Nothobranchius furzeri: one gene and its partner. The protein of the gene in region 2 interacts with the protein of the main gene of each other region in a pairwise test. Links are inferred from orthologs where the notes say so. Each region holds a gene or a part of one and is shown on either strand. Other genes may lie near its edges. The genes, in order: cdab and plekhb2.

The links.
Region 1: the proteins of plekhb2 (region 2) and cdab interact in binary tests that used the Homo sapiens proteins (3 or more experiments, as listed by UniProt). The two-hybrid records come from large-scale screens. The link is inferred for Nothobranchius furzeri from reciprocal best matches to the Homo sapiens genes PLEKHB2 and CDA.

Annotation. Positions count from the first base shown.
Region 1 is NC_091743.1:52,750,725-52,754,648, forward strand, and holds cdab (cytidine deaminase b), read right to left. Parts: upstream 2,936-3,924; 5' UTR 2,732-2,935; coding exon 2,503-2,731; intron 2,008-2,502; coding exon 1,896-2,007; intron 1,076-1,895; coding exon 1,018-1,075; intron 875-1,017; coding exon 749-874; 3' UTR 491-748; downstream 1-490. UniProt on the Homo sapiens protein: This enzyme scavenges exogenous and endogenous cytidine and 2'-deoxycytidine for UMP synthesis.
Region 2 is NC_091748.1:41,161,616-41,165,539, forward strand, and holds the start of plekhb2 (pleckstrin homology domain-containing family B member 2), read right to left. Parts: upstream 2,782-3,924; 5' UTR 2,642-2,781; intron 2,109-2,641; 5' UTR 2,100-2,108; coding exon 2,063-2,099; intron 1,964-2,062; coding exon 1,811-1,963; intron 1,705-1,810; coding exon 1,602-1,704; intron 1,478-1,601; coding exon 1,438-1,477; intron 1,189-1,437; coding exon 1,108-1,188; intron 890-1,107; coding exon 775-889; intron 1-774. Other genes in the region: ing5a (inhibitor of growth protein 5a), read left to right, coding at 3,358-3,394. UniProt on the Homo sapiens protein: Involved in retrograde transport of recycling endosomes.

The DNA of each region.
Region 1 (3,924 bases), on a different chromosome or scaffold from region 2:
GAAACACTGATTTGTGCCACATTTAAACAGGTATGACAATGAAATCAAGCTATTAAACATTAACTGTTCTGTGTCTCGTTTACTAATTAAGTTGTCACTCAGCAAAAAACGGATGCAATTTTTTTGCACTGCTACTTGTACTTAAAGCCTGGAAATAACAATCTAGAGTTTGACTTTAGTGCTTTCTCTCCTTTTGATGAACAATTTAGCCAGAAAAATCCGATTTACCTGATATCCCCCCCCACAGCTCTGAATCCAAGAGAAACAATATGTCTTCTAATCTTTAGCCTCTGAATGTTTACGCATGATAGGTAGACTTAAAATAACTCATGAATTAATTTTGTCACTTTGCACTGGCAGCTTACATGGCTCTTCTTTTTGTCTCTTCAAATAGAAACATTTGCAGTACACTGATACAAAATATGTTCTTCTTTTGTTTGTCCTTTGAACTGAAACTGTGTTCATTTCTCAATAAGGAATGAAGCGTGACTCCATTTAAAAACTATTTATTAAAATGTGTGACCATTCGTTTCTGTCATGCTTCTTTAAACCAATAAATATTTTTACCAACATAAGTTGTGCATTTAATGCTACTGAGGAAGTAGACATGAAATCATTGCATCAATAATATTTTTCCCTCTCGCAGTTGATTTAAATATAATTTAGAGACGGCATGAGAACAAACTTCTCACCATAAATATAACTGCTGCTAAACACATATGAAGCATGCTGTATCACTACAGCATGTTCAGCTAAACACTTTGTTCATGGATAGATCCTCAGGGCCAAACGAGAGGGGCAGCAGCTCGTCCACCGTCCGCTTTTGATACGATCCATCAGGCTTGGACAGGTAAACGTCCCAATTGGACCCAAACTGTAGGTCAAAAAAACAAAAACTTCACATTTCACAAAAAGGAACCAGCTTTGGCTAGTGCTTTACTCCTGCTAGTGCTGATTAGTATGCGTGCTGCTTTAGTGACTCATTTAAACTCTGCAAATGGAACAAGGAGCTCAGACCTCTCTCATGAACTGTCTGCAGCCCCCACATGGAGAGATGAACTGGTCGCATAAGTCACTGCAAAAAACAGAAAGTTGGAAAACGTAGCAGAAAGCAAATGGGGTTTGGAGGAATTTACAAGAAAAATGAAACTCAATTGTTTGGCTTTTATGAATAATTTGGTAATTTTTTACAGTACTTTGTGCAATATCAAGCATTAATAAATAAGGGTATTAAAAACTGCTTAACCATATTAATGTAATGCATTGCTTAGCAGACCCTCTGCCCACTCAGCCATTTGTCCTAACCTTTACAACGGTAGTGACACTAGGTAGTTGTGCATGCTTTTAGCACCCCCTAGTGTCCGTTTTTAATTTACTGTAGTTAAACCGAAAATGAAACTTATCTCCTCGTGCATTCATCTTTTAAACACCTTAATCTTACTGCTGTAGCGTCTCCTCCGTCTTCATTATCTTCTAGAGGAGCGGTTTATCACTAAATCAAACAAATCAGCTGTGTTCACCATCAGTAACATGCAGGGAACGTGCTGGAAGCAGACCGCTCCACCATGTCTGCTCCACTCCACTCAACCCCCCTCCCCCCAGCAGGGACAGACCAGCAACTCTGAAGTTGCAAGTGTGATATTCTGGCCAGAGGGGGCGGTGGGGTCTGAGTGACATTCCATTAACCCTGTAAATAGTTATTTAAGCACGAACTGGCTCAAGGCAATTATTTAAAAATATGAAAAATGTGCATAGTATCCCTTTAATAAAGGGATTATTTGTTTATTAGTGCTTCATAATGCAGTAACGTTAATAGAGGGACCCTTACTGTAAACTGTTACGTTATTCTTGAGGTGAAAATAAATGCAACATGAAGCAATACAATGTACATTTACCTGGCGATTGCAATGGCCTTGAAACTCCTGTATCCTTCTGACACGGCCTTCGAGATGGCGTTCCTTTCAGCACACAGTCCCAAAGTGTAGCACGCGTTCTCTACATTGCACCCTAGAGAGACACACAAAGACATGGGGTGACTTAACTTATGAGGGGCATTTACCTTCTGGAACAGTGTTTACTTCTGCTGGCCTGTTCAAATAGTCAGAGGGGTCTTTGGACTTGCAGCAGTTTTCCAGTCATCGCCCCGTACCTCCCCCACGTGACAGGACAGGTGACTTGTCCAGTGATGCTGACAGGAGCACCGTGTCTCCGACTTCTGTTTGTGCACATGCCGACTGTACTTACTGGGTGTGGAGAACGTTGGCCTTTTACTCCAGAGCTTTTCTCAAGTTTAGACATTTGACCTGATGGGTAATCATTAACATGATCCAGCAGTATGAAGATCAGAGCAAACGGATGCACTATTGTGTTGTTTTAATATTGAATTCTGTTATGTCTCCTAGAAGGCTTTGACTCAGACACATTATTTAAATTTTTTTATACTAAATATAATAGAAAAGCATGGGCTTAAAGAGGAAATTACCAACATTTTGCATAGCTCACCTGTAAACACACAGTTGTCGAGGGTCATGACAGCAGCTCCCACCCGGAATTTGCTGTAAGGGCAGTAAGATTGCGTCTTTACCTCCTGCGACTGATGAATCAGTTTTTTAACCATTTCTTGGCTCAGGTCCCTGGAGCGACTGACAACAGTGATGTCCCGTCGGGAGTTGACTCCATCCATAGTGGCTCTTGGCGTTTTGTAGACCTGATTTTGACTGAATGAGCTCATTGTGGCTCAGCTTTAAATGTGAATGGGACCGAGGGGTGAAAGGGGTGAGGACACAGTCAGCCAATCATTCACCAGGGAGTAAACTTACCATAATTACCCTAACCCTGTCCAAAGGAAGAGGACAGATTTTTATATGGATTTTAAAAGAAAGGTGTGATGTACTTGACAGCGGTAAACAGTGTTGCATTGGTGCTGGGGGGTACAGCTACTCACCTCTAAACCAGATACTTTTTATCTTGTCTTTATTTTATTTATTCCTGCATTAACTTTATTGTAGCCCAGATGAAGAGCGAACCCACACGATACGTACATATCAAAGCAAAGGGTTCTGCAGTGGCGTCAATGCTTTTGTTGTTGAGTTTTTAAGGCAGTTTGCCGTAGAAAAACAACACTTCTTGAATCTATGGAAAACATTGAAAACCTCTTAAAGCCAGTTACTTATAGCTGGAAACATTGTTCAAGCATTGGTCCGGATCTCAGGATATTGGAGTGTTACCAAATTATTTGTTTTTTTCTTAAGTTATAATAATTTTATGGTCGATGCAAAACATGTTCAACAAGTTTCATCCATCCATCCATTTTCTTCCGCTTATCCAGAGTCGGGTCATGGGGGCAACGGCCTAAGCAGAGAGGCCCGGACTTCCCTCTCCCCAGCCACTTGGGCCAGGTCTTCTGGGGGAGCGCTACCAAACCGCGTCCCCAGACCAGCTGATAAATGACACAACAGCAGAAATTAGTTTTGAGCTAGACTGAAGCCTTCAGTCAAAAATCTCAGCAGGTATGACAAAACATTCTTAAAAGCACAACTTTTGTCTTATTAAAATAAAATAAATGTTTTTTTGTTTATAACAAAGTCATAATTAACTTATTTAATATACTGAATTATGATCGTGATATCTTCCACTAAAGAACCTAAAAGGTTTTATTTTCATCAAATTTGTAACAAATGTGTCAAAATTTAGAGGGCAAGAGATACACTTGTCCAGGTGGGGACTGGGACATGTCCCTATGCTCCCAATGGCTAGTCCGTCAATGCACTTGGCCATTACTGAATGTAAAGATAAGTTCAAACACTAAAGTGTCAATCAATCAATCAATGAAAACAGTGGCAAACAATTTTGTTCAATGATTATTAATATTTTAACTTTTCAGCGAGAGCTTAAAGTGGCAGTGTGTAGTTTTCTGGCACTGGG
Region 2 (3,924 bases):
GGGTTAAACCACCAGATAGTTCCTGAGCACAGCCACAACTGCAGCTCACCACTCCCCACGGGGATGGGTCAGAGGAAGAGGTAACATCACCAGTCTCTGATGATGATTAATAAAGTAGATATTTAAGTAAAAGGAAAAAAAGGTTTTAGACTTTTATCTCAGGAAAAAAGTGAGAATACTGATTTTAACCTCTGAATCCTGACTTCTCTTCGAATTATCACATTATTCCCAGAATTGGAAGAAAAAAAGATTTCAGTGGCCCTAATCCTAGATATTAATCAAAAATGATAAATGTTCTTGTTTTTCAAAAGGTCCTGCAACAAATACGACTCTAAACAAGTTTTATTCTGGTGAACTGAGGGGAAAAATAGCCATTTGTAAAAGTTGCTGACCCCTGTTTCAGTCACATGGGGCGACGGTGGCACAGGAGTTAAGAGCTCGCCCCGCAATCAGAAGGTTGCAGGTTCGAGCCCCGCTCAGTCTGTCGCTGTCGTTGTGTCCTTGGGCAAGACACTTAACCCACGTTGCCTGCTGGTGGTGGTCGGAGGGACCGGTGGCGCCAGTGCTCGGCAGCCTCGCCTCTGTCAGTGCGTCCCAGGGCAGCTGTGGCTACATTGTAGCTCATCCCCACCAGCGTGTGAATGTGTGTGTGAATGGGTGAATGACTGATTGTGTTGTAAAGCGCCTTGGGGGGTTCCAGGACTCTAGAAGGCGCTATATCAAATACAGGCCATTTTTACCATTTACATGCTTACAACATGTGCCGTTACTCACCTTGGTACTGGTACGGATATGCAACAGCATAGGCTTGGCCATCTGCAGAGTAAACCATCTGTGTAGGACGAGGAGGTGGAGCACTGTAGTCTCCATATGGGCCTGGAGCATAAACCTGGGAAAAAGAAAGAAATATATCGTTACACATTCACGAATACTTGTTAGAAATGCATTTGGGTACTCCATTAACTACACCAGCAGGTGGCAGCAAACTCCGTCTTTCAACTAATAGGTTTCCTGTTTTTTTTTTAAATAATTCTCTTTTCAAAATGATGAATTATGACATAATAGATATTTGTTGTATTTTCCCATCATATTTACAAACAGTTGTACCTGTGGGTGAGTATATTCGGAGTAGGGGGGAGGAGCAGATGCAATCACTTCTGCAAAACCAATCTGAGGAGTAGCAACCACCTACATGATCAACAAATTAAATGAGACTTCTACAAGCGACCAATAACAAAAAAAAAAGAGTTCAATTGCTTCTGAACAAATGAAAGCAGAGAATGATCGGCTCCCTGATGGAGACATTACAAAACACGTCTTCAGCTTAAAGCTTAATGTTTTAAACTTGTAGTAACTCAAATGCTTTTTAAAGTTTTAGCTCAGGAATTTAACCAAACAAAACAAATACAGAACCCCACAGATGCAGCAAAACCTCACCGTATTAATCCTGGCATCCTGCAGTGCCATGGTCCATGCACTGCAACAAAAAATGTTTGAGAATATAAATTATGTTTTTCTCAGAATGTAAACATATTTCATTTCTGTGCATCCACTTTTATCAGCAAAGAAGTTAAAATAAATAAATAAATAAATGTGCTTACAGGGCATCATCTGCACTGTCTGCACACAGGCTGATGACACGTCCATCTCTGCACACTATCTGGAACAATGCATCACGTATCTTTCCCTCTGGTGGGTTCAGTTCTGGGAGGAAGGACAAAAGTTGAGAAGGATTTTTTTTAAACAAAAAAAGTGTATAACATTCTGCAAGTGTGATTTTTACGCAAAAATGTGTGGAAAGAAAACAAACCCTGGCATGCTCCAGAGTTGCGGATGTTGATGCAGTGGACTCTCATGTGAATGTCATCCTCCATGTCGCGCCGTTGTTGATCATTGTAGAAGACGAGCCGGCCATCAGCCCACAAATCAAACCAGTTTCTTTTCCACCGGCGTAATATGGTACCTAAAAGTTAAATATAACACTTGTTTGACAAGATTTCTTGATGTAGACCTTTTTTTTCCACTGAGGGACAGTTGAATACACAGAAACACAATTACTCACTTTGTCTATGAAGCCAGCCACTCTTTACCATAGCCATCTGCAACCCCTAAACAACGTGAGTCAGTTAGAGCTGGAGATGATGACTGGGTGTGGTGCATCTAAAACAAACCTCATGACTGCTAACATAACTGACCAGTCTCCTTCAGAAGAAAACAGCCTCACGTGGAGGGCAAATTAAAGTCTTTTAGAAAGTGATCACTATTAGCAGACTTAGCTCAAATGAGTTTGATCTGCTAGCACAAGAAGTTACCGTGTGACTTTAATAGAGTTCCTGTTCAGTGTTTAAAGTTCAGATGTTGTGCCATTATGTTTATTTATAGTACTGCATTTAATACAAATCATTTAATTCTAATTTACATAAACTGTATGGGTCTCAATGGCAGGTGATGAAATGGGATGAAATAAGTACACATTGTTTAAATGAAATAAACAAATAGCATTTTTTGCTAGCTAGTTTCCAGATGTTAGGTGATAGCTAGTGAACTAGCATGGCTACTTATGAGTTTAAAATGTTCACAAAGTGAGAAAACAGTACAATTCTGTCAGACAACAAGCTTATTTTGTGGTTTACATACTTACTTTTATTCCACTGTTTGTCCCAAACGGTCTTTTTCGTGATAATTAAAACGCGGAAGTGATATGCAAAAGGTCGATGCCTTACTTCGAGATGAAAAGGCCTGACCGTTAGCAAAGTGACTACAGCGTTTAGACCGGAGGGCCGTTATGTTTCAGTCAATGTTAACTCCGCCCCACCGAGCATCTTCACAAGTGGCCCGTCTCTGGAGAGGGAGGTGTGTTGTTTTGAATGACGTAACCGCTCAGCTGACAGCTGTGGAAAGTGCTAGCAAAAAAGCAGCAAGGGTGCGCTTGGTTACAGCTCACACTCACTGTGCACACACACGTGAAATATTTGCCCTTCTCTTGGCAATGCAAATATGTGTGGTTTTATTTGTTTATTGACGGTGAAAGTGTTTTTTTAAACATCAAATAATTCACCTTTAAATAAAATCGAATTTAGAAAATGGTGAGAGGTGGGGGACAAATATTGGCACAAGAACTGAGTTTTAGAATTGTTAAGAGTGTAGAAAGATATAAGTGACCAAATACGAAATTAGGCTGTTTGCCTGGGAACAAAAATGTTTAATTTTGGTCTGGGGAAATAGAAAGGCGGGAGCCAACATTTTAGCCATCGCCCGGCGGCAAACTCAGGATAGTAAAACAAACGCAACAGCGCCCCGTGAAGCCGTGACCACAGAAGCAGCAGAGTAACGCAGCAGCTAAATACATAGCCAGAAATGGCGACGGCAATTTACTTGGAGCATTATTTGGACAGTAAGTATCTGATAATGCACCGAGATCGATAATAACTTGTCAAAAATGTTTTTGTGCTTTACGTTGATTTTTATCGAATAGTTTGCTCAAAAGTAGAGACAAGTAGTTGTTACATTAGCAAACTTTAGCTTTCCAGCTAACTCGCTGTCGCAGCGAGATAAGTAGATGGGTAAAGATGAAATAAACTGTCATTGATAAACACGGTAATAAACCTCCCGTGTTTCACTTATTACTAAAATATCAACTTATTTTTTTATTTACAACAGTAATACTTTATTGATAAAGAGCATATTGTTTATCTTTGACTTATTTGAAATCACTTTCTGTCAGTTTGTATGTTTGCAGCAACCTCTTCGATGTATGCGCATCGCTTTGAAAACCGCGTTTCCCGTAACTGTTTAGACTCCAGCCGAGGCGGGGTGTTTGACGTGCTTTTCAGCTTGTGTTACTATAAATCCTCACACATCTGCAGCTGATGTTGTTACACACTATTATTCTGCCACTGAAAGTTATTTTGCTATTGCGCAAAG